Alligator mississippiensis: one gene and its partners. The protein of the gene in region 1 purifies or fractionates together with the protein of each later gene. This does not show direct contact. Links are inferred from orthologs where the notes say so. Each region holds a gene or a part of one and is shown in the gene's direction. Other genes may lie near its edges.

What was found.
Region 2: the proteins of PPP1CC (region 1) and EIF2AK4 purify together in Homo sapiens (affinity purification with mass spectrometry; 3 studies listed by BioGRID and IntAct, counting the BioPlex papers as one, with this or other methods). This does not show direct contact. The link is inferred for Alligator mississippiensis from reciprocal best matches to the Homo sapiens genes PPP1CC and EIF2AK4.
Region 3: the proteins of PPP1CC (region 1) and WBP11 purify together in Homo sapiens (affinity purification with mass spectrometry; 4 studies listed by BioGRID and IntAct, counting the BioPlex papers as one, with this or other methods). This does not show direct contact. The link is inferred for Alligator mississippiensis from reciprocal best matches to the Homo sapiens genes PPP1CC and WBP11.
Region 4: the proteins of PPP1CC (region 1) and KIFBP purify together in Homo sapiens (affinity purification with mass spectrometry; 3 studies listed by BioGRID and IntAct, counting the BioPlex papers as one, with this or other methods). This does not show direct contact. The link is inferred for Alligator mississippiensis from reciprocal best matches to the Homo sapiens genes PPP1CC and KIFBP.

Annotation. Positions count from the first base shown.
Region 1 is NC_081833.1:3,270,193-3,277,198, reverse strand, and holds the start of PPP1CC (serine/threonine-protein phosphatase PP1-gamma catalytic subunit), read left to right. Parts: upstream 1-3,986; 5' UTR 3,987-4,074; coding exon 4,075-4,129; intron 4,130-7,006. UniProt on the Homo sapiens protein: Protein phosphatase that associates with over 200 regulatory proteins to form highly specific holoenzymes which dephosphorylate hundreds of biological targets.
Region 2 is NC_081825.1:242,153,964-242,161,471, reverse strand, and holds the start of EIF2AK4 (eIF-2-alpha kinase GCN2), read left to right. Parts: upstream 1-4,505; 5' UTR 4,506-4,574; coding exon 4,575-4,715; intron 4,716-4,826; exon of another isoform or gene 4,827-4,961; intron 4,962-7,508. UniProt on the Homo sapiens protein: Metabolic-stress sensing protein kinase that phosphorylates the alpha subunit of eukaryotic translation initiation factor 2 (EIF2S1/eIF-2-alpha) in response to low amino acid availability.
Region 3 is NC_081827.1:90,989,720-90,997,080, reverse strand, and holds the start of WBP11 (WW domain-binding protein 11), read left to right. Parts: upstream 1-4,339; 5' UTR 4,340-4,451; intron 4,452-4,586; exon of another isoform or gene 4,587-4,606; intron 4,607-6,183; 5' UTR 6,184-6,235; coding exon 6,236-6,299; intron 6,300-6,751; coding exon 6,752-6,783; intron 6,784-7,361. UniProt on the Homo sapiens protein: Activates pre-mRNA splicing. May inhibit PP1 phosphatase activity.
Region 4 is NC_081829.1:55,373,305-55,380,495, forward strand, and holds the start of KIFBP (KIF-binding protein), read left to right. Parts: upstream 1-4,185; 5' UTR 4,186-4,200; coding exon 4,201-4,560; intron 4,561-7,191. UniProt on the Homo sapiens protein: Activator of KIF1B plus-end-directed microtubule motor activity. Required for organization of axonal microtubules, and axonal outgrowth and maintenance during peripheral and central nervous system development.

The DNA of each region.
Region 1 (7,006 bases):
GGATTTCCCCCAGCTATTTCCCCTCTAGAAATAAATCACTGTTCTAAACAACATTGGGGAAATAATAATTTCAAGCCATTAAAATACCTTGGCTGAATCCCTCTTTTCATCAGTGAAACTGTTGTTGGGGGACGTTGCCATTTTCTGCAAAGAAAAATTAGCTCATTTAAAAATATTTAATTTTAAAGTGGCTTTTTAATAACTGTAGTTCAGCATGCATTCGATCCATATGAATTATGTATTGTTATTAAAACAAGGTTCGTGTAGCAATGTAAATGTAAGAAAGGACTTGGCAGAAAAGGGTCTGATTCTGAAAAGGATGCTCCCTATCCTCCACCAAGACCACAGGGAATTGACGATGCTCTGCACTGCACATGGTTTGACTCAGAGTACAAAGGCCCAATCCTGAACACACACGAACAACTTTCACATGTGTGAGTGGTCCCATTGACTTCCATGATTGCAGGACAGAGCCCTCAAAGACTGTTTCTGCACAGTGCTCAGCCCCGCCATTACCTATGGAAATCCGTAAGTCAAAAGGACTCAGAACCTCAAAAAAGATGCTCAAACCTTGAATGATAACCCCAAGGGAGACAAAATGATAATTTGTTGTTGTTATTATTATTATTAACAACAACAATAATATAGTCCATGTTCCAGGTCAAATCAGCCAGATCAGTTCCAAATTATATCAATTGAGCAGAACTCAGTAGTTCCAAAAACCATATAGATTGAGCAGGCAGAACCCAATCATTCTAAACACCATGTACAGAGCTACAGCCAGCAAGCATCCTCTATCCCTGACTCTCACCCCAGGACTTCAGATACTCTCAAATCCATGGGCAGGCATCCTACGCGCAGGCCCAAGCCCAGAGATCCTGGGATTCAGATGTCCCCATTTGATCTTAGTCCACAAGAGGTTGAGGCACTTGACCTGAGCCAAAAAGCTGAGAAGCAAGAGAAAATTATAAGTTTTGTTGTTAAAAATGTGTCATATAATATATATATATATATATATATAGGTTTTATATGTACAGGTTTTTACACACACACACACACACCTTCTAGTCACTGTTCATTACCTACTTAACTGACCAGAGGAACACCTGCGCACCCGATACAATATACGTGCCCATGGAAAATGCTGAAATACTACAAGAAGATCTAGAGACATTACTGGCAAGACAAAATGGGAAGGATTCCCTGGAAGTATAGGGCCTCTTCTGGCATACCTCTGTTGAGTTAAGGCAAGTTAGCATGTCAAAACTTGGCCCTCTGAATTAAAGCAGGGACAGTTAGGGAAGGCATACAGTAGGCAAGAATAAAGAAGCTGTTCCAAGGGAAGGAGCAGCATGAAAACAGCTGTAAACTTATGAATGGAGTCACACAAATCAATCTGGAGTAACCTCACTCTCTTTGAGGGGGTTACTTTGGATTGATACCAGTAGGATGGAGATTAGCATTTGGCTCAGGTGCATTCATTACCATAAGCAGTCACTTGGGAAAGTATAAAGTCGCATTTTATAATTGGCAAATGCCTGTGCTACAGATGGTCCATATCTATACTACTGCAAAGGCTTTTTCCTTATTGGCTTCTTTCCTATTGTACACCATGTACAAGTGCCCAAGGTGTGCTGAGATGGCACGTCTCCTGCTTTATCACCACAGTGAATCTGAACTTTGCCCTAGCCTGACCAAGATAATGAGCTGTTATGATTATTATATAACTGTCAGTGTGAGGCATCCAGCATTCACAAGAGAAAGGAGCAGGAGAGGCGGGAATTGAGCTGACACAGTCATCCCTGTAAATTAAACTCAGAATAAATAAACCAATTAAACAATATTCAATCAGAGATGCAAAGAAGTGAGCAAGAGTAGAGGCCAGCACAGGCCAACTCCCTGCAAATGTAATTTTTTTTTTTCCAATCTCTGGGCTGATTTTAACTGTGTATGCCTCTGCCTTGCAATTTTGTTGCTGCTGCATGCAGAATAAAACAAGAAATCCCTGCAATAAACCTAACTTATCTAAAAACGAGCACGTTGATTGCTGTGGTCGTCTCCAGAGGATTTCTGAGCACCTTGCAGGCATCCTGCAAATGCTGACAGCTCCACGATGAGGTTCATGGGCATAAAGTTACTCACATGTATAAAGGTTTGTCTGCACAAGGGAAGCTACTGTGAAATCAGCCAGGGTGAGAATTTAAAAGTATGGAGGCTATTCTGCACAAAGGCTCTTTTAGCTTCAAATAAAAGTGTTCACACAGAAGGGCTCATGTGGAATAGCTCTGTCTGGGGAGTGCTTGCATGTGGTTTAGCTCAGTTCACTAAGTGCACAAATCCACTACCCCGCGCAGGGAGTGAATGCAGAATAACGACCGGATTTCAAGTGCCAGCCCAACTTGATTTCACTACAGTTTCCCCAAGAAAGGCAAGCCCCAGCACGACGAACTCTAAGTGAGTCGGCATGGGCAGCTGTTTTGTAGGGCTGTGCAAAGCTTTGTTTCCCAATTCAATTCAGAGGAAATTCGGCCCGATTCAGCAGTCGAATCTCAGAATCCGAATCAAATCAGAGGACTCTTTAATGTCTCTGAATCCAATTGGGACCCTCTGCATTGATTCAAACAGACAACTTTAAATGTTTTTTCTACATACGTGTAGGTGGCAGGTGGCTCGTGAACGCTGTGATGCTGGGGCGTCCTACAGGAGCGTGGGGGGCTCCCCAGCACACTCAGAAGTGGACCAGAAGTGCTTCTGGTTCACTTCCGGTCCTGCTGGGGAGTGTGCTGGGGCCCCCCCACGCCCCCACGGCGTGCACCCAGGGGCCTCCCATGGCCGATTGCCGAGTCGGGGAGGATGCGGGGGGGCTTCTGGCCCACTTCCGGGTTCACTGTTGAGCACGTGGGGGCCCAACTCCCGTGGGACACTCCACGCGCCCCAGCATCGCAGCGATCACGAGCTGCCTGCTACCTCGAGGCACCTAGAAAAAACATTTAAAGCTGTCTGTATGTTCGAATTGACTCGGAGGGTCCCACCTTGATTGGGAGAGATTAAAGGGTTCTCCGATTCGATTCGGATTCTGAGATTCGGCCACCGAATCGGGTCGAATCTCCTCTAAATCGAATCAGCTGCGTCTATGTCCGAATCGCCGATTCTCCAAATCAGCATTGAATCTTCAGATTCGGATGAATCGAATCCGGGAAAGCAATACGCGTCAAAGAATCGAATCGCCGACCCCCGATTCGGACTGAATCCGAATCGACTAGGCCCCGCTTCGCGCTCCCCTGCTGTTTCACAATTGATTTTTTTTAGGTGGTTTCTCCCCTTGGACAAGTCCTGCTGGCTGGCGGGGGCTGGGCTGTATCACCGAACTCAGCTCCAGACTGCGCCCGTCCCGTCGATACACCCATTTCACAGATGCAACCGCCAACCCCCCAGTCCCGCAACAAGCGCCATCATCCAACCCCGGCTGCTTTTCCCTGCCCAGGTTGGGGCTGTGGAGTCAAATAGTATCAGTGAATCTATACACCCCCACCCCTGTCCCAGGGTGGGGGTCCTGGGTGGCCGGGGGCTGGAGAAGGAAGGGGGTAGGACGTGCAATGTCCACTGGGAGCTGCTCCAGGGGCACATCCAGCTGTTGGAAGCAGGGGTCCACTGTGAGAGACAGGCCTTCCACCCTCCTCCACTTCCTCCTTAATGGCTCAGTTTAACCCGCGCTAAACTGACCCGCTCCAACTCCCAGGCGTGTCCAGCCGGGAGGGCTATTGCACGAAGCCGCAGTTGTCACCCCACACCAGTGCAGGATGCAAGGAACGGAGCAAAACCGACACACTCCGCCTCTTACACCCGCCCTGAGGCGACTGCTGGGCGGCCCTAGTCCCTCCGCCCCTCGCCCCGCCCCTCTGGCGGAAGGATCCGGTGCTTCGGACGCTCTTCCCGCCGCTCTGCCTATAAAGGCGTCCCGGCCGGGCGGCGCTGCGCCTGGGATCCGTGCGCCGCCACAGCTAGCTGAGGAGACGGCGGCCATTTTGTTCGGCGCCGGCGCTGCGCGGGGCGAGCAGGGGACGCTCGGGGGCCATGGCAGATATCGACAAGCTCAACATCGACAGCATCATCCAACGGCTGCTGGAGGGTGAGGAGGAGGAAGGGGGTGGTTCCCGCGCGCGTTCCTGCCCCCTCCCCCACCCTCAGGGGACCCAAATATTGGGGTGTGAGGCGCGCCGCTGGGCCCCTGCCGCAGCTCGGGGCTCGTGTGGCACGGCACGGCACGGCACGGCACTGCGCGTGCGGGGAAGGAGCCGCGTGTCCCGCCGCCCGGCCCGCCGGGGTTTAACTTCCCCCTTCCCCCCCCCTTGCGCTGCCAAAAGTCCCCGAGGGTTTGGAGCCAGGTGGGAGAAACCTGCCCCCCGGGCTGCCCTCTCTTGCTGCTTTGCAGCATTTCTCTGGAAATAAACGACCTGCGTGATGCAAAAGCGGGGTGGGGGTGCTGTAGGGACAAAGAATAAGAAATACATCCGTCTTGGGGGTCTTCCCCCCTCCTCCGTGCCAGTGCTGGGGGGCTGCAGTAGGTCTCTGACTCTTGACTGAGCCCCAAACGGACCCGGGAAAGGGCAGCAAGTCGTTCAGAAGTTGTTTTGCGCGCGAGTCTTGATTATCGTTCGTGTTTGGCCGCGTTTTCCTCGCCCGAAACGTCCGTGGTGGTGGGCGTCTTGGAAAAGCCAGTCGTATTGAACTAGTAACGCGTCTCGTCGCTGGCTGGGCTGTCCACGGGAAGGTTGCTCTCTCCGCGAGCTCGCTAACAAGATGCCTCAATAGAGCCGCCGAACTTGAACCCTGTATTCCTGCCGTTCCAGCGGTCGTAACTAGAGTTGTTTCGGGTAACCCTCGACTCTTTGCTAAGGCTCGAAATAGTATTTTCGTGGACGGTGGGGCTGGAAGGGACCTCGTAATATTGCTGGGTCCAGCCCTCTGTCCCGGGGCAGGAAGTCGGTCGGGGTCACAGGATCCCAGCAAGATCAGCGTCCAAATGTTTCTTGACCCCAGGGCCAGCAAGTTAGCTAGGGGTCAAAGGATCCCAGCAAGGTAAATGTCCAAATGTTTCTTGACCCCCCAGCGGTAGGAAGCTGGCTGGGGGGGGTCAAAGGATCCCAGCAAGATCAGCGTCCAAATGTTTCTTGACCCCCAGCGGTAGGAAGCTGGCTGGGGGGGGGTCAAAGGATCCCAGCAAGATCAGCGTCCAAATATTTCTTGACCCCAGGGCCAGGAAGTCAGCTGGGGGTCAAAGGATCCCAGCAAGGTAAATGTCCAAATATTTCTTGACCCCCAGCTGACTTCCTGCCTCATGGGTCAAAGGATCCCACCAAGATCAGTGTCCAAATGTTCCTTGGATGTCTTGAATAGCCTTGTTGTTACTGTCTCCAAGTATGAACAGAAATATGAATGCTTATAAATATTAATGGCAGTTCTCACATCAACTAGTGTTATAGACTTCCTAGACGTTCGGGCTGGAAGGGACCTCGTATAAGATGAGGTGCAGGCCCCTCTTGATGGTTGTTTAGTATATTGCATATTAACACCCACTTGTGTTATAAGCTACACAGCAATTACTTGTCATGGCTTGATTGCTGTTCCGTGCATAACCTCAATAACATGGGATTCTTGTTTGTATTTATTATGTTTTTTACAAATGGAGAACCAAAAGACCTCTTTTTGAATTTGGTCAAGTAGCATTTGTTTTAAATGCAAGGAAAAAAACTGATTTTTTTTTTTTTTAGAATCGGGATGGGACCTGTAAGATCCTCAAGTCCGGTCCCTTGCCACAGGCAGGAGGTTATTGGGCTCAAACAAGCTCCAGCAAGTGCTTATATTGAAGGGTCTTGTTAGCAAGCTCTTACAGACCGTTTTGAGAGAGCAACCTTCACACTCCGACCTCCCCAAAGGCCCAACCAGCAAATTATGTAGATTTACAAGGTAAATTGTGTTTTGCAAAATACACTGTGTCTATAGTTTTGATTGTCCCCCCCTCCCCATAAATTTAGAGAGGAGCATGGGCATTGCTTTGTAGTTGACAAACTTTTTTTTTATACTTTAAGTTCAACTTTTTTAAAAGTTGATGTAAATACTCTTTATACTCTGTTTCTTTCAGTGGCTATTTCTTAATTTGTTTTTATCACATCCTTCCCCACTTCCTCTTCAAAAACAATCTTTGTTCTCAGAGCAAATTCCTCCTCCAATTATAACTATAGTTTTGGTAGCATGACTGAACTTTCACGCAACTGCTAGTTTTCATTTGGGTGTACACACTATGGTACACCCCAAAATTGGATTTCCTTAGATGTGTGTGCCTTCAGAGTGGGTTCTCCCTTAACTAAATGTCATAGTCCATCACCGTGAATGCTACAAAGCACTCTGTTTAGTAACAAGACATTTCACATGTTTGATCCCAGACAACATACTCATGCATTCTTGTAGGCAATCGGTAGTGATTCTAGATAAATCTGTTAATAAACTTTAAAGATATGAATGGGGTAGTTTGAAGCTAAACATCTTTCTTTAACAGCTAATTAAACCTAAAGTTGGTGAAGAAACTTCATGGCACTCTTCACATCAAAGTGCTGGGCCATAAAACATTGTTTTTGGTATTTATGATACACTTTAGGTCTCAGACAAATAGCGTAAGACTAGAGTAACATAACTAGGACACATTTACTTTAATTGTTAAAGCACAGTAAAACGACTAAGTGGAAGATGAAAACTGGGAGTAACCTACTATTTTAAAAATAATATTTGCCAATAATGTAGCTGTTATTTCTGTCTCAAGAAACAAACCCCAGCTTTTGTCATGATAGCTTTTTTATGAAAATCTAGATTGTAACACTAGTTGAATTTAGTTATGCAGTTTTCTATGATGCCTGCGTAATCTTGGATCAGATTATATTTGCACATTCAAAATATACAAGATTGACAAAAACAGAAACGTACTTTGTCTAACATTCAGCTTGTATTTTTG
Region 2 (7,508 bases), on another chromosome or scaffold:
TTACTTCTGCCTAACCCCAGCCAGGCTGAGAGCTGGGCTCAGCCTGGGACAGCCACAGCAGCAGCAAGAGAGCTTCCTCTCCTGAGCCTGCTCACAAGCTGGCAAGGAACACAGAAAACCAGGCAGGGAGAAGCCTGCATATTCTCACTGCCACTGTCCCTGGGCAGATCCAGGGGGGACGTCAAGGGGGTACAGTGGTACAGTCATACCCCTCCCACCTGGATTCCTGGCCTACCCAAAGTATAAACAAACTGCCTAGCAGTGGCAGCAACATTTTTATTCAGGCAGCAGTGAAGGAGTCACTAGACTTCATGGTTTATTATAATCTACCCCATCCCTTCTAAACTCTTTATTCCACAGGTGTTAATGACCCTATTTCCTTTTTAATGATCTTGGTGTTCACTAATCAAGCTAGCCTTTCTTTTTCAATTCTGCTGTCTGGAAGCTAGTGGCTTCTGGTAATGTAGTTCCTATTTCACAACCTAGTAGACTGTTTTTAACCCTAGATAAAAACTTTAACTCAAGGGTAGAAATAACTTTTAGTGAAGTATTGGATGCGCTGTCAAGATATTCAAGAAGTCTTGATTTTATGAATCTGAAGGAGATGTACATTTAATTCTAATGACTACAGGACTAAAGAAACAATTTTATTATTTTGCCTAGTTTGTTCTGTTTTTTAAATATAAAATGTATAACAAATTCATGTATATCCGTTTAGGTTAGATTTGTTTTTGCTTTGATCTTCAACTGAATAATATAGCCCTAAACCCCTAGCATGTTAGCAAAGCTTCTGGTTTCTTTTTACTTGGAGAAAAATATGTATTAAGTTATCTGTGGTGATGTACCACACCATCAGCATCCCCCTTTTCAAAACCCTAGATCCACTCATGTCTCCAGCTGATCCTGGCTCCCTGCAGAGCCCAGATAGAGTAGAGCAGGAGTAGCTTTGGAGCCAATTTAAACCCAGGGCAGATGGGGACAGCATCAGAAGTGGGTGGTAAAGGGGGAAGGGGAGGGAAGGTGTCACTGAGCAGGGGGGAAAGGAGATGGAGAATCCTTACTTGTTTTGGGGACTTAAAAAAAGTTCTGATGCTGCTCTTGCAGCATCAACTGAAAGCAGGGGAGGGGGAGGGGGGACTGCATCCATACTGAACGCCCCCAGATCCACCCCGTATATATGTTGCATCTTGTATTAATACATGCTATTCTATGTATGCCACACAAGCAAAATCAGCAAATGAATTGATTCAAAATGTGCACAGTACTTACACATGTTCTATGTCTGTAACAGAATTGCAGTGAACTTCTACTGTCATATATACATATATATTACACACACACACACACACACACACACACACACACACACACGCCACCTAAGTTTTCAGGTAAATTGCTTTTACAGTCAACTAATTTGTGTTCTTTAATGGGCCTAAGAAAGTCAGTATCCAATTGTTTATCATTTCTGTATGTATTTCAGTAAATAAACATATTTCACAGACTATAAAGAGAAAGTGAGGCAAATGTTTACATATCTGTCTATTCTCTGTAAACCACTATTACCAATATTTTTCTTATCCACATACAGAAGGGATAAGAAGGCACCTATCTAGTAACCAACAGTGAGCCTTACAGCAACTTTGGTTGGAAAGATCTGAGAATGTGTGTGTGTTCGTTCTCACATGCTTCCGCAGGTCTGTGAGGAAACTTTTAGGACAGGAAAAAGTATGTAATGACAGAAATGGATGTGACATGTATGTGACAGCAATATTAATAGGTGTTTGCCAAGTTTTAAATGAGTCTTGCTCAATAAATTTAACAATTTCTTCTGAAAAGATTGTGATTTCTACTGAATTTAAATTAGTTTTGCTGTGTTAAGGAATATTTTATGCATTAGCCCAGGGGTGGGCAATTATTTTGAGAGGAGGGCCACTTATCCAGTTTTGGCAGGCTGTTGAGGGCCGCATGGGTAGCCCTGCCCCTTGACAGGTGCCCCACCCTCTGGTCACCATCTTGGGACCAACATCCCAATGTCTTGGGACCAATGTCCCAGGGCCAGCACCGGTGGGGCCCAGAGTGGGGCACAGGCTGGCAGGGGTCAGTGGAGCCAGGCTGGGCCGCACCAGCAGGGAGGGGGAAGCTGGCCTGGCTCCATAAAGCCCCTGCCAGCTGGGACCCCACGCTCCTGCTGCCCTGCTCTGGGTCCTACCGGCACTGGCCCCAGGACACCGGTGCGGGCCCGTGCTCCCACTGGCTCCCCACCCACTCATACCCAGTGCCCCCCAGCCCCGCGGTACAGGCGGGGGGCAGCACACAGTCCTGACCCCCTGCTCACCGACAGGGAAGAAGCTGGTGCTGATCATGGGGAAAAGTGGCCCCTCACCTGCCCCATGGCTGGCACCCCATGCTGCAGGCGCTCACAGCCCACGTGGGGCTGTCTGGAGCAGGCACAAGCAGCCCCAGGTGGACTGTGAGCGGCTGCAGTGTGGGCAGACGAGGGGCCACTTTTCTCTGCGCAGGGAAAGAGCCCAGGGAAAAGCTGAGTGGGGGGGGGGGGAGAAGCAGCCCCTCCTCCGCCCCATGCCTGGTGCCCCACGCTGCAGGCGCTCGCAGCCTGCATAGGACTGTCCAGAGTGGGCACAGGCACGCCACGCAGTCTGCAAGCAGCTGCAGCACTTTCCCACCACGCTCCTTCCCTGAGCTTCCTGAGCTGGGGCAGCCACATGCTCCCAGCCCAGAAACCTTGGCTGTGGCTTCCGGCTGGCGGAAGGGGCCAGGCAGGTCCTGCTGTTGTTGGAGTCCACTGGGCTTCCCCTGGGTCCTACTGCCCTTGGTTCATGTCATTTTTTACAGGAACCAAGGGCAGAGAATAATAATTTTTCAAATTTTTTTTTTTGGAAAATTGTCCATGAAAAAATAAAGCCCTGGAAATTTTTCTGCCCCGCATCTCTGCTTGTACTGCCAAATTCCTAAACCCCATAGACTGGATCAGGGTCAAGCCATGTCCCATACAATGATACATTTTATATCAAGCCATGCAGCCTGACTGGGGCCAGGCTATGCCCCACACAGCTGGATCTGGGACAAGCCATGCCCCCTTCTCCTTCAGAGCCCAATTGGGCCCTGCCTCACTGCCCTGTGCACCAGATGGAGCCCACCAACCAGATCCAGCCTGCTGGTAGACTGAGCACTGCCCACCTCACCGGAGCAGGAACACCACTGATCTAGTCCTTTTTTGACACCTACTAAGGTCTTAACCTCAAGGCTGTTTTATGACAATAAGTTTCAAAGGTTAATTATCCATTGCATAAAAATATTTGTAGTAAACTTCTTGGGACTGGGATCATGTCTTCATAGATGTTCAGGCAATATCTAGTGTAACAGGATCCTTATTTTGATGGGGCCTCTGGGTAAATAATTAATGACAACGGACTAACTAGCATTGCAGATTGGAGGGGAAGAAATTTTCTGGCTTATTTAATCAGATGCTTTGTGGCTGTGGTATGTACAAGGGACCAGAGTGAATGTTCTTATGGATCCCTTTGGGAAATCAGTCCACTGCAAATTGGGGGGGGGGGGGGGGGGGGGGGGGACTGGATTTGACAGCTTGGGAGGTCCTTCCAAGTCCTTTGTTTCTAGTTAAGTTGTTATTTACTATGTCTACCCACTCCAAAAACTACAGCACAGTGACTACAGTGGCTGGTCCACATAGAAAGAATGGAAGCAATCTGGACACCAAACAAAGCGCCCCTTGGCTGTCAGAGGGGACAAAGCCACATGGACAACCAAGACAAAGATGATGTACTGTCTATGGACACGAAATGTGCATGACTGGAGATGAAGGCACAAAACAGATGGGAATGGATGAAGATAGTGGAGGCAGCCAAATCCCTCTAGGGCCGATAGTGCTAAATTATTTTACTTTTTATTTTACTTTTAGTCTAAAAAAGAGAATTATAATTCTGTGGGATTTGTAAAAACTGTAACCCATCACTTCGAAGATATCTCAAATCTGTTAAGTAAATCTCAGACAGAAGTCCTTGGGAAATGCATTGGTCTTGTTCAAAGCACCATTTCCCCCACTGGTGGTCTAGGCTCGTTCCCTGCCCTTTACCTCTGAGGAGCGCAGCAAGATACGGGTGACTCCGCGGGCGATTCGAAGAGGCCATGTCAGGAATCACTGCATTTACCTCTTGCTGACAGTTGGACTCTACCTGGGTCCTAGCCTGCTGGGATGAGGCTGGCAAGACTGAAAAGATCTCCCTTCAAGGAGGAATTCAAGCGAGCGGCGGCAGAGGCAGTCCGCTCCTTCCCGTGTGCTCGGCGCCGGGCAGGGCGCGAGCAAGGGGTGCCCGGTACTTAGCGGAGCACCGGGCGGGCGAAGAGGCTCTTCCGAGGCCGCCCCAGCAGCGGCGGAGCGGCGACAGGTCCGCCCGCGGCCGCGGGGGGCAGCAGCGGCGGCGGCAGCGTCCCGCGGGGCCTGGCGGCTGCCCAGGCAGGAAGCGCTGCTTCAACCGCGGCCGCCGCCGGCGCTCGGCGGAGCCCGGCCATGGCTGCCCCCTGCCGCCGCTGACATGGCCCGGGCGGGCGCGGAGCCGCCGGAGACCTACCAGCTACGCCAGGACAACGAGCTACAGGCGCTCGAGTCCATCTACGGCCCGGACTTCCGCGACCTGCGCCGGGCCTGGCCCCGGCCCCGGCCCCGCGCTGCCGAGGTGACCCCCCTCCCCCCCCAAACCTGCGGACGCGGCCTGGCCCCGCTTCGGCTGCCAGGGCGGGGCGAGCGCTGCGGGGCCCCGGAACAGGGGAGCGGCGCAGCGGCTCACCCTGCGCTCCCCTCCCTCGAGGGACACGGGCTCCTCGCCCCGGGCCGGCCCCAGCCAAACAGGCGGGGACAGGCCTCCCTGAGGCCCCCGCCACACCTTCGGGCGGCATCGTTGGGCCCTTGTAGCCGCCTGGCTCTTGGTTTCGAGCCGGACGCGAGCTGTCATGGCGGGGGCACCGCTTTGTGGCGGGTGAGAGTTGTGGCGCGGTGCCCGGGGGAGGTGTGCTGCAGGCAAGGGGCGCAGCATCCTCAGGCCGGCCGGCCGGCCGTCCTGCCAGCCCCTCGTGATGAGGGCACCGTGCTCTCGGGCCCATCACTGATTAAAACAAGTTAAAATCAAGCAACAGGGACAGGAGTGAGAGGCATGGGTTCAAAAGGAGCGCACCAAGGGGGGACACCGAGCAGGACACATGGGACAGCATCACCCTCTAGCTCTCGAATGAGTCAAGGGAGCAGACCAGGGACAGGGAAGCGGCCTCACAGGTCCCAAGGGCCCTCTCAGCCCGTCTCTTTCTTGGGCAGACAGACCATGAGCTAGGCTGGCACCAAGAGGAGGTTGACTCTGAGGTCCCGGGATTTGGTGGCGTCGCAGGTGGGGAGTGGGTAGATGAAAAGGTGCAGCCAGAACCTCAGCAGCAGGCAGCGAAGGAGCTGCAGCCTGGCACGCTCTGGGCACTGTCTGGTGTGCTTTGCTCCGTGTTCCCCCTCATGAACATATGACCCACGTGCCAATCCCTGTTTTGTTTTTATTTTTCCCGAGGAATTAGCGAGCATTACGCCTTTAGTAGCCGCTATCACCAAGGGGTGCTTATAGCTCTACTCAGTGGGCTTTGGCCTGCTATCCCAAATGACGTATCAAAAAGCCTGGCGCTCTCCAGGGAGGCATGCCCCAGGGTCTCCCTCTGCTCCTGGAGGGGACAGGAGTCAGGGACATCCCTAAACCACACCAGATCCCTGCTGTAACACAGCTGGAAGGGCAAATAACACCAATTATTCCTAATTGTCCCAAGGGAAAAGATCTTGTGTTCTGTGGGGAGAATCAGTTGCCTGTTTTTAGCATTTGAATACCACATTATCTCTCTAGCTAGCACTTCTTACCATGGCTCTTGGAGTAGGTCTGAGCAGGGGGCTCCTTTAAAACATTTTGAATGCTTTGTGGCTGCCATCAGCTGACTATTCTCTGATACACTTTGCCTCTTTTGGGTGCCCATGTCTTCCCCTTCTTTGGCTACCATCTACATGACTGCCAGTGTAATTAATGCTCAGCACTAAATACATTGTTTTCATAATTAATGCTTGTGATATGACTTGCTTTTTAATTAAATGTCAGTATTGCTCTTTCCTCCCTAATCAATTAAAGCCTTAACTAATTGTATAACTATATATCTGCTTAATTAATTTTCCTCACATTGCTTTACAGTATGTTAAAAATTAGGAGTCTAAGAGTAGGGTCTTGTTTAACTAGCCTAGTTTTCAAAAGTGCCATTCACATCACCAAGCCTGTTTAAAGCTTGCTTCACCATTCCCTTTGCAAGCTTCTGTGGTCCTTGCCATTCTCTCTTCCCTTGTCCTAAATTGTTGCAGAAGGAAACTAATGGGGAAATTGATTGGCTTCTTCTAGGTACCCTTCTCCCTTTCATTTTCCCTTTATGTAGCTTATTTTACCTTTTCTCAGCGTGCTTCCATTACATGCTACTCAACTTTTTCCTGACCTTCCAGTAAATCTAAATTCCCAGTGACAGAAATTTAAACACGTTTCTGTTTTGAGTTGGAGTGTTCCCATGATGGTCCAGGAAATGAACGAGAGGCAAGTGATACCTTTTATTAAACCAACTTTGTAGCTGGGAAAGATGTTGGACAAGCTTTTGGGCATCAAGTGTCCTTCCTCAAGTGAATTTAGGGACCCGAGGAAGGACACTTGATACCAGAAAGCTTATCCAAGAGTTCTTCCAACTATACTGTTGCTTGATTTAAGATACTAAAAAGTTTTGCCTTTCTGTTTTAATGCATAATTGTTTTTCTTTTAAATTATTCCAAAGGCTGCTTAAAAAAACAAAAGAAGGAAAAATAATATTTAGCAAAACTCCTAAACTTTAAAAAAAATCCTCCTTATGTCCCAGCAAAAGGATATAATACATGTGATGCTATAACACAGCATTGCATCAGAAAGAACATATTTTGCTCTGATATTTTCTTAAAGGCCAAACACAAGCAGGAATAAATTTAGATTTTATTTATGTATTTATTTATTCATTTGTTTATTTATTTTTGCCCTGTCCCCTGCAGCCTCTGCTCCCCACACTGCCATGCCTTTGCTTCCCGCTGCTTACCTTCCTCGGGCATCTCCAGCTTCTGCTGGGGTCTGCTCCTGTTAACAGCAGGTAGCACAGCACAGAGCTCCATCCTGGCTATGCAGCTGTAGCAGCTCTTGCTCTAGCTCTAGGGCTGAAGCTGCTGCAGCTGCAACAGCTGTTGTGTGGGGCCAGAGTCAGCGTGTGCTCCATGCCCGCAGCTAGACCGGGCCCCAGTGGGAGTTAGTGCTGCAAAGTGGGGGGGGAATAAGTAGAGGGGCAGGTGCTCAGGGGTGCAGGCACCGTGGGGAGAAGTAGGTTGTGGGGGGCAGGTTAGAGGGGGACAGGTGGGAGAGCTGCAAGTTGTGGGGCAGGCAACCGGGGTACAGGCA
Region 3 (7,361 bases), on another chromosome or scaffold:
GTAGTATATGAAAGTACCTGCTTCTGGTGTTTGCTGAGATTATGGGAAATAAAATGCTCATTCTTAATCTAGTAAACTAGTGGTCAAGTGGCTGCAGAAAATAAAATCATCATCAAGCCTATCTCTAATTCCCAGGTTCTGGAGAGATGCCAGTAGCTGAATAAAGGTCAGATCTATACTAGAAACTTTTGTTGATATAATAATGGTCAAGTGTGTGATTTTTATAATGTTTATTTATTTATTGGCAAAAGCCTGAGTAGAGATGCAAATACACTGACAAAGAAGGTGGGCTTTTTTTTTTGCCAGAATATCCACATTTGGAGGGTTACTGATATTGCAACTTTTTTCTGGTGCATACTAGACATAATCTTGATATACAGGATTCCCTTTCTCAAGATCATCTGTCAATGTTTTGAATCTGTATCTGTGAAGCCACCCAGTGCCCTACTTAAAATGAACTCTAATCCTGACAGAGTTGTGGTTTGAAAAATATGTGCGCACACAATTTAAACCCTACAGTTAAGAGATTAAAAGAAGGTTCCAGCATTCCAGACGCTATGGGCCCAATCATGAAAACACACGTGCAATTAATATTGTGCATACATGCAGTTCTTCTGGGTTAAATGGATCTACATCCAGGCAAAAGTGTTTGCAGGACGACTGGCCTACAAGGACATGCTATTTTCTTTTCTTTAAAGTGATTAATGGATGAGTGATATGGGACTGTAGTGGGTTTGTTCAATATATCCACAGCCTGTCCTGTAAAACATCGCAACACAAATACTACAAATCTAAATGTGCCTAGTTTGGAAACAAAAGGTTAGAGCAAAGAGTTTGATTTGTATGCCCCTTCTCTGAGACGCACTGAACTTTGGGGGTTTTTTGGCTGTTATTTAAATAAAAATTGTAATTTTAAAAATATATTAAACCTGTACCATATTAATTTTGAGAGCTCTTTTCTCTATTTGGTTGACTAAGTTCATAGGCATTTGTTCTTTGTCTCAAAAATTAGTCTAAAGCTAAATCATGCACATTATTTACTGGTACTAAGAAAGGATGCAATGTATAAGTAACAATACAGGTTGTTTATAAAGTCCTTGTGCAACTTTAATAACTTTGGATGTATACTTGATAGAAGCAAACTGTAAATGGTGACTGAAAGCATAATACATTAAGTTTTAACACAATACAGCTCAAATTTCTAGACTTCAACATAACTGCCATCTTTTGTGATACATCGTTCAGTCTGATTTTCCAACTCATAGCAAACATTTTCTAGCTGAGTGATTTCATGATTGGCATTTATGAGCCTTACCCTATACAATACTTACACTATGCTAAAAAACATAATGAATTATGCTTTCAGTAGCCAAAGTCATTAATGTTTAAAGTTGTACAGGGACTTATAAGCACCTATATAAGTACTTATATAAGCACCCTGCATATAAACTGTACAGATCATTATATGAAAGTTGTACACAGGCTCAGTTTTTTATACCAAGACATACTGTGATAAAACTATTCAGAAAAGACCCAACAGCAGATTTGTACGGTAACAACTATCGTATCTGTGTAAAATTTGAAGCAGCTCTCCACCTTTTTATCTCTCTTCTATTCTCATTCCCTTATTCATGTTTGTCTCCCTTCCAACCTCATTTGCTTTCTTTGTTTTCCCTCTTTACTTGTGCTCTTTTCCCTTTCCTTCCTACTTCCAGGCTTAATTTCTTTTGTAGCTCTTAGTAGTCTATCAGTTGACTAAACCTCAGCAGGTGTGGCAAATCACCCATTAAGCAGAAGAGTACTGGAAAGACTTACAGACCAAAACATCTAGCAGATTTTTCTGGCAGCTTGTCCATCTTAAGAAGGAAAGAAATACATTTCTGGGGGGAAGCGGGGGTGGGGGTGAGGGAGGGGGAATGAAAAGATAAAATTTTCATTCACCTTTACAGATTCTTGGTGATGCTGGGAAAAGAAAGATACATCTTTCATGAAGTAGAAACGGGGGGAAGAGTGAGCTCATCTCTATGAAGTACTCATATTGTAGGCTGTGGCAATCAGCCAGTCCCACAGAGCACAATGCAGTGACCTCACAGAGGCCTGGGGCTGGTCAGCAATTCTGCTTGACCTAGGAGATGTAGCAGTGACCTCACAGAGGCTTACAGGAGGATCTCTGTATTTTAGCTGGTTTTAAGGTAATGGAGGCAACCAAGCCCATTTATTCTGAATTTGTTAAGTGTAATAAAGAGCTCATTAACCAAGTCTGGCATGAAATTAGAGTGACCAGGCATTTCTACAGTGGCCTTCAAAGAGATGCTTTCATGTGTATCAGTGGATACTTTGCTCCAGTGGAGAGTCTTTGAAATAAAGGAGTGCATGGAAAGGATAACTTAGTGCAGTGGGGGCCAAACTTTTTAGGAGGTTTGCCACAAATCAGCCCTGTTACCTCTCTGCAAGACATTCAGATCCCTTTCCTCTGCCCAGCCTGCTCCTCGTTTCCTGCTTTTTGCCCCGCGTTTCCTGACTGACCTGCTGCTATGTTTTCCGCTCCTTATCCTATCCACCACTGTGTTGCCTGTCCCCTCCCAATTGCAAACATACAGCTTGCCTGTGCCACTTTTAGTACTTAAGCCACAGGTTGGCCATCCCTGACCTAGTCTGTTATGCTTTAAGTAGGCAGAGACTGGGTTTTAACAGAACAGTTCGCAATAACAGTTTGTGGAAATCTTTTAGATTCACTTGGTAACGCAAGTCATAGAGTTGCTTGAAGCTGTAGTCACTTGTTTAACTACCAATTTTGAATAAGGAGAAACAGCCAGCATCCGCATTTCTCCCATCTATACACTTTGCATATGCTGGCTGTTTCCAAGTAGGCCACATCCAAGTTGCCTCCTGGTTTCCCTTAATAAAAAAATTAGAAACATTTTAAAACTACAGCTTAAACATGAAATTGCAGAGTAAGAAATCAGCCACAAACTGGACCATGTTAAGTATGGTTTAAACAGAGACTACAGATTCTTATCCCATTACCTGGGTTAGCTATGGTGACCTTTTCACTCCCTTGGGTTCTTTCAGCATTTCCCCTCCCCTTCGCTTTCTCACCTATTGTATTCTAATCACTCTGCTTTATTATGACATCCTTTTACAACATCTGGATTATTTGACCCCAGCGGTCTTTCTTGCCCAGAGCAGGGAGGCTGGACCCGATGATCTCATGAGGTCCCTTCCAGCCCTAAACTTCTGTGAATCTGTGATGCGGTCAAAAGCAGTCAACCCCAGCTCTTTTGTGCTCTCTCTCTGTATCTTGTGTCACAGGCAAACCCTCATAGTCAAGGGTAATCGTCTTCCACCACTGCCTTATCTGTGGTCCAAAGACGCCTGACAAGACCAATTCAGGATTGCAACTTGGGCGCATGTTTCCACGTGGGCTGGGCAGCTCTGGGTTCTTGATTTGGTCTGCGGCACGTTGTTTCTGCCGCTCCCACTTTTCCCACTGTTGTTGTGAGGTCTCAAAGTACCAAGATCCTCACAACTGACTCTTCCTCCATTTGGGGGCCACACTGGGTGATAGTCCCCCAGGAGCAGATGCTGCATTTTTTCAAGTGGGCCTTGAGGATGTCCTTGGACTGCTTTGTCTGCCCTTCTCTTGAGTGTAGGCCTTGACTGAGCTCAGTCATATCTTATGCCAAGGGTGGGCAAAATGCGGCCCATGGGCCACATGCAGCCTGCCAGGCTATTCTATTCAGCCTGCAGGGCAGCTAAAACATTTCAAAAATTAATATTTACCTGCCCCTGACTACCTGTCAAGCAGCCCTCGATGGCTTGCCAAAACTCAGTAAGCAGCACTCCACCCAAAATAATTGCCCGCCCCTGTCTTATGTAGTCAAGTCTACAGAGGTGCACCCCAGTGCCCTGCCTGCTCGCTAGGGGAGACTAACGTGGAGAAACACCCCTTTCCCTTGGCAGAGCCCAGACCCAGGTGACGGGCACCGTGGTTTGGCTCCAGGAAGAGGCTTTGCTGCGCCAGGTGCGGGTCAAGCTGGGCCCCGAAACGAGTGACACCAGCGCAAGAGCGCGCGCTGTACGGACCCAAGTCCACCCCCAGGCCAAGCCCTGACTCCGAGGCAGACCGCGCGCGACCCCAACCCAGACAATCCGCTCCCGCCCCCGACCCGCCACGTGACTCACTCCACCCAAAGGGCGCTCGGCCTGGGTTTTTTTTTGTTTGTTTTGTTTTATTTTGTTTTTTGCACTCCCGCCGTCACCATGGAGACCCCCGGCAGGAAGCGCCCTCCCTCCTCCCCGGCTCGCAGCCGCTTTCTGGCGGGGCCCGGAAGAGGTTCCGGGTCGGGGCGGAAGTGGCGCGCGGCTGTGGTTCATGCGAAATGGCGGCGGGGCCTTGCGTGCCGGGACTCCCGCGGCGGTAGGAAGGAGCTGCCGCCCGACCGCCGAAGGTGAGAGCCGCGGGGCGGGGGCGGGTGTTGCCGAGCCGTAGCTCCTCCCCCCGCGTGGGCCCCGGCGGAGCCGGCTTGCGCCGTGCCGGGCTCTCGGCGGCCCGTTGGGCTCCGGCTTCTCCAGCGAATGAAGCGGTTCCTGCCTCAGCTGGGACGTGAGCGCGGGGCAGGGGTTGGCGGACCCTTGCGCGCCCCGGGGTGGGCGGGGAAGGCAGCGGGCCCGGCAGCCAGGGGACAGCGTCGCTGCTCGGGCTTGCGGCGGATCTGGGGAGCGGCTGAATTGGTCCCCTGTAGGGCCCATCCTGGCAGGCCAGGCCGCGGTCTCCCTTCCGCGGGCTCCCCGCACATCCGGGTGCCGCCGCTTCCCCGCTGCCACATTTTGGTGCCCGTGGGCAGCCCCGTGGGCCGGGTGACAAACCAGGCTCTGCAGGCTGAAGGTTGAGCCCCCCCACCCTTTCATAGGAGGGTTTTGACCCAACTTCTGAGGCCTTATGTTCAGCTTGGTGCTAATCTCCATTGGCGTGTTTGTGCGTTTGGATGCGAGGCAGCAGCTTGAGATGCTTCACTCAAATATGGCCTTTGGTGTCTGGCAGGGATTCCTGTGTCAGAGGGGCTCCCGGTTTTTGTGAAAACGAGGAGGAGGAAAGTGGAGACACAGGGACCCTTAGTTATCAATTCAGGGGGGAGTTGGTTCCTTAGTGGAGGTGGTCCCTCACTGAGAAAATGTCTCGGTGGTTGTCTCAAGGTTAAAGAACAGATCGATGGCATCAGTTAATACTTTCCAGCATAACGTTTCCTGTCTGCCAGGCCAGCCGAATTTAAGCTTGAAGCCCTGAACAAACAGCCAGCCTCAGAGAAGGGAGAAAATGTTAGTGGGAGAGCAGAGCACACAGGGGGGCACAGAAATTGAGGGGTGGTGAGGAAAGGAGTCTCTTACCTGACTGCAGTGAGCCAGTCTGGAGAAAAAGGGAATGGGGGTGTATGCAGAGCCCCTAGCATGGGAGTTGTGCAGAAAGCCTCAGGGGCGTGGGACTGGGGCAAAAGAAGTGTGCAAGAGCCCCTGGTGTGAAAGGGGAGCACCTGGAGTGAAACGGAAGTACATAGGAAACAGGTAGTAATGGAAAAAAAGCAAGGAGCAGTGCACTGGTCAGTGCAGTGCGCTTAGCAGAAGCAGCAGTGTGCAAAACTCGCCTGTAAATACAAACAATGTACTTAGTGTGGGTTGTGGGAGTCGCTTGTTGATAAAATGGTGTAGTTATCTTGCTTTGTATATGTGCCAGAGGGAATGGGTGCAAGCACATTCCCACAACATATCCTTCAGATCACATCACAGCTGCTTTGCAGTAACTGCCCATGTGTGCGCCCTTACCTGGTGCCAAATGACTTCCCACTAAAAATGTTTTGGTAAGCAGAAGCTACTTTGTATTTATTGTGTGGTAAGATCATACATGTGGGCAGTTATCACAAAATGATGCATTGTAAGTTCACACTTCTTACTTCACAGTATTTGTTTGTGCAATTGTAAGTTCACACTTCTTACTTCACAGTATTTGTTTGTGCATCCATACCTGGGGCTTGCATGCAGTTGAATTCTGTGCATTCACAAGAGCTGGGATTTAAAGATGTGATGGATACTGACAGCAGCTATTAGTTTGGTGAAGGAGAGAGGAAGAATAGGAGCATGCTTATCATTACTGATAGATAGAATCTGATGTTGTGGCTTTGTTTTCAGGTTACTCATCCATTTTTTGAGGTGGCAGTGAAAAGAGAAAAAACAGGCCAAGATGGGGCGGAGATCTACATCCTCCACCAAGAGTGGAAAGTTCATGAACCCCACAGACCAGGCCCGTGAGTATCTAGAAAAATGCTTGATATTTTCTTTGACAGATGGGAATGAAAAGTAACTGAAGGATCAAGTCAGATTCCTGATTGAATTCCTTTTTGCCTGTTCAGCACACAGATTGTTTCCATCTCCAGAGTATTTGTTGTTTTGTTAGAACTAAATTTAAACAATTGTTCTAATTAAACATCTGCTTCCATTTTTGAGTGAGTGAGTGACTGTGAATATCTCTGCTTTTAGTGGTCTGGGGACTGCTGTTGTCTATCTTTCATAGTGTGTCTGAAATTTTTTTTAATAAGCATATTTTTCTAGGACTGAGAAAAGAGGGGTGGATAGAACTGGTTTTCAAATCAGCAAACTGTTGAGAAACAGAACTGAAGTACTTGCAAAAGAAAAATGTTATGCTGGCTGGGTTTGACTGAGTTTTTTTTCAAGTTGTCTGTTTCCTTTCTTTCTGCAGGAAAGGAGGCCCGGAAGAGGGAGCTGAAGAAGGTAAGCCATTGTGTCAGCAACGGTATTGCTGTCCTGTTTGTTTCATGTTTCCAACTGCAGTGGACTTTAGGCAGTGAGCAGACTGGCTCCGGGCTTCTCAAAAGCCTTTCTATGTTGTGAAGATGCTGTCTGTCTTAAAGGGATATTGCTAACCTAAATCATGTTTTTGTCTGAATTTTTTTTTTAACCTTAACCCTTCCCCCCCCCCAGTCTGCTTTGTGCTTTTGGTAGCACTTTTTTGTTATTGGGATTACTATGTCCCATTTGCTTAGTTTTCCCTTGTGGTTCCTTTGGCCCTTATAGAAAGGTAACAGGGAAGAAGAAAACCTTAATAAATATGGGAGCAATTATGTTGGGATCCCAAAACTGTCAAAACTGGAGGAGGAGGTGTCTTGAACAAGATAATCCTCAAGTTATATTAGTGTCAGAAGTTGGTTAAAAGTCCTTCTAGGTATGTTATGTGATTAGTACTTTAAGTTGCTTTGAAATCTCTCTTTCTTTAGGTTGTATGGAGTTTCTCCCATATTTTAGAAGTCATAGGATTCTAAATTTTAGAAGTTTATGATACCATAGGTTGC
Region 4 (7,191 bases), on another chromosome or scaffold:
CAACCTGGTGCGGGGATTCTGGGTTCTCAACCACCTGGGCAATAGTGATCATTGCCTACTGGAATTCACCATCCAGTGCAGGGTGTCAAAGGCCTACAGCAAGGCAGCAGCCCTGGACTTCAGGAGGGCTGATTTCAATAAGGATATTAGCCAGGGAGGCACTGGGGTCAGGAAGGGGTGGGGAGTTGGGAGTCCAAGAAGAGTGGTCATTCCTTAAGGAGACGATCCTCCAAGGCCAAATGGTTAACAGTCCCGAAGTGGATCAAAGGAGGCAAGAGTGCTCAAAAGCCCCAATGGCTCACCAAAGGCATCCAGGAATGTCTCGGAGCTAAAGAGGCATACACCCAATTGAAGGGAGGGGCCATCACCAAGAAGGATTATATCTCCATTGGTCAAGATTGTAGAGGGGGCTGTTAGGAAGGCTAAGGCAGAGTCAGAACTGGGACTAGTGACCAGGATCAAAGATAACAAGTCCTTTTTTAAATACATAGGGAGTAAAAAGAAGGTACCGGGTAACATGGGGCCTCTGCAGGACACATTTGGAAATCTGGTGGTCACACCAGATGAGAAATCTAACCTCTTTAACAAATTCTTTCCCTCTGTTTTTCTGAGCAGGAACCAGGACATCCCCCCACCCTGCACTGGGATCCCGGATGGACCTAGGGGAGGCGCAGCCAGGCCCAGGGTCAATGAGGACCTGGCCAGGGAGTGTCTGGTGGGACTGGATGTGTTCAAGTCAGCAGATCCAGATGATCTCCACACCAGGGTGCTGAGGAAATTGGCAGAGTTCATCACGAGATTCCTGGCACAGCTTTACGAGCACTCGTGGTGCTCTGGTGAGGTGCCAGAGACTGGAAAAGGGCCGATGTGGTCCCCATTTTCAAAAAAGGAAGGAAGGATGACCCAGGAAACTATAGGCCCATTAGTCTTACCTTGGTCCTGGGAAAGCTGTTTGTGAAAATTATCCAGGAGCACATCTGCGAGGGACCAGCAGGGGAGATTATGCTTACCAACATAGATTCATTAGAGGCAAGTCCTGTCAGACCAGATTGCCGTCTATGACCAGGTCACAAAATCCTTGGATGCAGGTGTCACAGTGGACGTAGTCTTCCTGGACTTTAGGAAGGCCTTCAACGCTGTCTCTCACCCCATTCTCATAAAAAAATTAGGCAACTGTGGTGTCGATGCCTACACAGGTGGGTCACAAATTGGCTGGAGGGCTGCACCCAGAGAGTGGTGGTGGATGGGTCATTTTCGATCTGGAGGGATGTGAACAGTGGAGTCCCCCAGGGCTCGGTCCTCAGGCCCACACTGTTCAACATCTTCATCAGTGACTTAGACGAGGGGGTGAAAAGCACCTTGTTCAGATTTGTGGATGACACTAAGATGTGGGGAGAAGTGGGCACACTAGAAGAGGGACAGGCTACAACTAGATCTGGACAAGTTCCAGGGGTGGGCGGATGAGAATAGGATGGGTTTCAATACTGACAAGGAAGAACCAGCAGCATACCTACAGGCTGGGGAACTCCCTTCTCGTCAGCACAGAGGCAGAAAATGATCTTGGAGTCGCTACTGATTCCAAGATGAACATGGGCCGCCAGTGTGTGGACGCGGTCAGTAAGGCTAGCCACGCCTTGTCATGCATCCATAGATGCATCTTAAGCAGGTCCAAGGAAGTGATCCACCCCTCTATGCAACACTGGTCAGGCTGCAGTTGGAGTACTGCGTCCAGTTCTGGGCGCTGTACTTCAGGAGGGATGTGGACAGCATGGAGAGGATCCAGAGGAGGGCCACTCATGATCAGGGGGCAGCAGGGCAGGCCCTATGAGGAGAGGCTATGGGACCTGAACCTGTTCAGCCTCTACAAGAGAAGGCTGAGAGAGGATCTGGTGGCCATCTATAAACTTGCCAAGGGGGACCAGCAGGCAATGGGAGAGTCCCTGTTCTCCTAAGCACTACCAGGAGTAACAAGGAGTAACGGCCATAAGTTGATGGAGAGTAGATTCAGGAAGCACTACTTCACAGGGCAGCTAGGATCTGGAACCAACTTCCAAGGAAAGTGGTGCTTGCTCCTACCAGGGGGTCTTCAAAAGGAGGCTAGATAAGCACCTAGCTGGGGTCATTTGACCCCAGCATTCTTTCCTGCCCATGGCAGGGGGTCGGACTTGATGATCTGTTCAGGTCCCTTTCGATCCTACCAACTATGAAACTGTAGTGCAGGTTTTCATCAGTAGTAGCCCCATTTTCTCATTGCTAGTTTGAATGCAGAGGCTAAGGCATTTTAAATTATGCTCTTAAGAGAAACCCTAGCCTTCCCATTTCCTTAGGGTTCTGCTATACCTTCAAATAAAAGCTGGTGAGAAACCAGCTATGGAGTTGTTATACATTTTCAAGCACTATAGAGTTGGTTGGCTCTTTTTAAAGCTAGACAGTCATTTTTATTGGATGGTAATGACTTTGCACTGTGGCTTGTCTACATTGTTGTGCAACTGACTCATTTTGCATTATATAGGGGGTTTCACCCTTTTTAAAGGAGTGTACCTCTTCTGGTGGGTACCCCTCCTGGACACTGTACTCCCTGGATGAGCTGGGGGGGGGATTCTGACAGCGGGACAGATGCAAAGTGGGGGGGTACTTGGGCAGCGTGCGATGGTGCACTTCCCAAATACTGCCCCTTCTCTGACAGCAATGATACACTTCCCAGGTACCTTCTTCGAGCTGCTGCCATGTACTCCCCAGGGACCTTCCTAAGTACCCCCAGGGGCATGCGTACTCCTGTTGACAGCCCCTGATGTATGCAATGACTGGGTGCATCTACAAGAGACATTTTACTGTGCAATAGAGCTAATAATTGCATAGTAAGCATCACCATCTACATGTGCTGACCCTTACTGCGCAGTAATTTCCTCTTACTTCGCAGTTAATTTGCTACCTTTAAATGCAAGTAGCAAATTAACTGTCGTGTAATTACTGCACAGTATGGCGTGTGTAGACCTAGGTAATTTGCTCCTGGTCAGCTGGGCAGCAGGAGGTGGGAGATTGCTCCCTGCCCCTAGGACCTGCCTGCTGCCATGGTGGGCTCCACTGCCAGAGCTGAGGCAGGGACAATGTCCCCCTACCCTGGCAACAGGGAACTCCCAGCCCTCACTCGGCTGTCCTGTTTTCAGGCAGTCCCCTGTCAGCTCTGGGCTCCACCTGCAGACTTCCCTGTGCAGCCTGGGGCTGGCTGGGAACTGTTCCAGTCAGGGGCAGGTCCCAGCCCTGCAGGTTCTTCCCAGCGCCCTGCCCCAAGTGGGAGATGAAGGGCACAGGGCTTGGAAAGAACTGTAAGGGAGCGGCAGGTCCCAGCCTCCTTGGCTCCGGCACAGGAGCCCCAGGCAACAGGCAGCTCCCAGGGGCAGGGAGCGGGCTCCCAATCCCTGTCAGGAGGTACCCATCTCCTGGCCCTGTGCTCCCTGCCAGCCCCTGGGCTAGCAGCCAGCAGGAGCCTAGAGCTGTTGCAGGGCTGGAGGGGGTGGGGGCAGACTGCTGCCCAGAGCAGTGATTCTGCTCCCAAATCTTTGCATGTGTAGATGCCTGCCCAACGTGGATTTACTCTAGAGTAAATCCACCTCACAGCATTTGCACACCCACTGACCAGCTAATTGTTTAATGTATGTAACACTAGCAGCAGCCTTAGTCAGGGCTGGATTTTGCCGTGGGGGCCATTCGGACCTGTCACGCTGTTTCTGAAGAAACAGTGACAACAAGGGATGTGCAGGGGGGCCTACAGCTTTGTGGCACATGAGGGCAGGATGTCACCGCTTGTGTATACGCCCCAGAGAAAAGGTCTTCGCTAGTCTTTCCCCTTCGATACCTGCGTTCCGCCCCTGGTGCGTGAGACGCCCCCAGGCGAGGCTGCGAGCGGAGCCCGCCCTGCACCTGCGGAGCTCTGCGCGCACTGGCTCTGGCACACACTGCACCTTCCCCCACTTTGCTGCCGCGACCCAGTGGGGCCGTGACGTAGCAGCTAAGGCAGAGTTGCGGGGCTAGTGGCAGCTGGTCCCTGTCGGGCACCATAACACTGACTGCAAGGCCGCCCCGCGCGCCGATTGGTCACTGGCAGCCCCCGCCCCTGCGCCGATTGGCCGGCCGGCCGGCCGGGGGCGGGTCGGGTCGGGGCGCTGCGCGGCAGCTGCCCGGGGCATTGAGAGCTGTAAGATGGCGGCGGGCGGCGCATGGGCCGCGCTGTGCGAGAAGTTCCGCAGCGCGCAGAGCCTGTCGGCCGTGGAGTCCAAGAAGGACCCGGAGACCGAGCCCTACCGCTCCAAGTACGGCGCCCGCCAGCTGCTGCAGGAGATTAAGCAGCTGCTGGGCCCAGAAGAGGCGGCCGAGGCTGAGGCGGGGGCGGCGGCGGCGCTGCGGGCTGTGCGCCTGGCCGCGCTCGAGTACGAGCTGGGCGTGAACCACACGGAGACTGAGGAGCTGTCGGCGGGCGAGGAGCACCTGCTCAAGTGCACGCGGCTGCTGGAGCCGCGCCGCCTCTCGCGGGCCTGCGTCTCCCTCTACATCCAGGCGCAGGTGGGCACGGGCGTCTCCCCGGCATCCAGCCCCGGTCCGAACCGCTGCCCTGCCCGCGGCGGCCGCGCTCGCCAGGCCTGTGCTGTAGCCCCCTGCTCCGCTGCCCCGCAAAGCCCTGCGCTGGGACTGGGACCCAGGTGGCATCGTGCGTGGGGCGGCTGCTGATAACAGTCAATAGCGGGTCTGCAGCCACAGCTTGAGCTAGAAAACAAACCAACCTTGGAGTTCAGTGTCGGGGTCCTGGGCTGGGAGGCTCCAAGGGTGGCACCAGGTCCTCTTGAATTTGCTAAGTACCCTAGCATTTGCAGGTGCTGGCTTTAATATTTTATTAAATGGGGTTTGATTGATTTTATTTATCTTTTTTTGCTTTACTGGAACTTTTGGAGCAGGAACAAACCAGATTTTTTGTGGACTTGGAAGGTGTTAATACCCGAGGTTTATATCCCTGAGGAAGTAAAAGGAAGCGGGGTTTCTCCTTTCTTTTTGTTGTTGTCCAGTGTTGTTTAACATGGGCCTGTTTTTGTTTGTTTTTACCTTAGTTTATGGCCTTTTCTGGCAAGGCTGTTTTGTTTCTACAAATTATTTAAGCATTTTAACAAACATATAGCAACATGACATCTAATGGATTTGAGCACATCAGTTGTTACTGCTAATATTTTAAGATAAAGCTATGATATTATGTATTGGATTAATTAACATGGTCTTTTAGGCCTTGAGCTCTGAGAGCTGCTCTAATTAAGTCACCTGCTGTGACTCATGTATTCAGTGTCCTGTGCTTCAAAATCAGGGTGGGGGTGCTTCAACTAAAGCTCACTGGATAAGCATTAGTAAATGTCCCCACTGCCATTTTGAAGCACAGGGACTCTGAATACATAAGATGTGGAGGCTGTTGGAGCACACTAATTAGTGCACACCAGCAGACTGGATTGAGTCTGCTCCAACGCACTGTAATTGCAGTATGTTGAAGCAGTGTCCCTCTATGTCTGCTGGCACCTGTGGATGGTTTCCTTTGCTGACCAAGCTAGTTGTCACATTTACAAAGGTTTACACTACGATCACTTAGAAACAGGCTGTGGGGTTTTCTGCTTAGCCACACTTCTGCAGCTGGGTCTGGGTCCCTTGAAAATGGGCATGGCTGGCCACAGGCCTTACACTGACAAGGCTGAGAGTCACCAAGCTAGAACAACAGCCATTTCCTTGCAAAGCCTCACACAACTAGCCTGTAAAGGCTTCTGTGGAGGGTCTCTGCTACAGACTGGGGAGAGCCATTTGTGTTATTTAAGCAGGTTGTTTAAAAGATTTGGTTATTGTCCTTCATTGGGACACCTCATTACAGACCTACTTAATTTGTGGTTTCACAGATTGTCCACAAAATCTGCAAAATTTAATGGAAAGAGCCCCTTAAAAATAAAATACTGGCTCCCCAGCGGGAGCCAGTGGTCCTTGCTGCTGGGAGGGGAAGGTGCCAGCTGGTGGAGTGACATGAAGGGCAGCAGGCAAGAGGGGTTTGCCACCTTGTGTCATTCCCCCCCCCCCCCCCCCCCAACACAGCCTCTCCAGTCAGTGCTGAGGGGCAGGGCTTTTTGTGAAATGACCATGGAATTACAACTTTATACTGTGATCAACTTGCAAAAACTGGTAAGCTCCCCTGTGATTTAGGTAGACCTCTACTTATGAAATATCCATGCTCAGCAGGGCAAAGCAATCATTTAACAGATCCAGGGTTGCTTAAGAACCTGGCTGGGACAGAACAGTGTGTCATCAGTAATCAGAAGTCAGTCAAGCATGTTTAGGTCATGCAAAGTTTTCAGATTTGTTTCATAGTAGCTAGGGTCAGGAGGGACCTGAACAGATCATCCAGCCTGACTCCCTGCCACAGGCAGGAATGAATGCTGGGTTCACAAGACCCCAGACAGGTGATCATCCAACCTCCTCTTGAATTTGCCCAAGGTAGGGGCAAGGACCACTTCCCTGGGAAGTTGGTTCCAGAGTTTGGCCACCTTAACTGTAAAATATTGCCTTCTGATCTCTAACCTAAACCTGTTCTCCATCAGCTTATTACCATTGTTCCTTGTTACCCCAGGTGGTGCTGGGGAGAAAAGAAGAGTTTGTAGGCAGCCACCAGGTCCCCCCTCAGCCTCCTCTTGCTGAGGCTGAACAGGTTCAGGTCCTCCAGTCTCTCCTCATAGGGCCTGTCCTGCTGCCCTCTCACTGAGCGGGTGGCCCTCTTCTGAACCCTCTCCAGGCTGGCCACATCCCTTTTTGAAGTGTGGCACCCGGTACTGGATGCAGTACTTTAACTGCGGCCTGACCAAAGTCGCATAGAAGGGGAGTATCACCTCTCTGGACCGGCTTGAGATGCATGACCACCTTTGGATGCATGACAAAGTATGGCTGGCTTTCCTGGCTGCCGTCTGGCATTGGTGGCTCATGTTGATCTTGGACTCGATAATGATTCCCAAGATCCCTTTCTGCCTCTGTGCTTTCAAGAAGGGAACTCCCCAGCCTGTATGTATGCTGTGGATTCCTTCTCCCAAGGTGCAGCACCCTGCATTTGTCTATGCTGAACCCCATCCTAGTCTCGTCTGCCCACTTCTGTAGTCTGTCTAAATCTGTTTGCAGCCTCTCTCT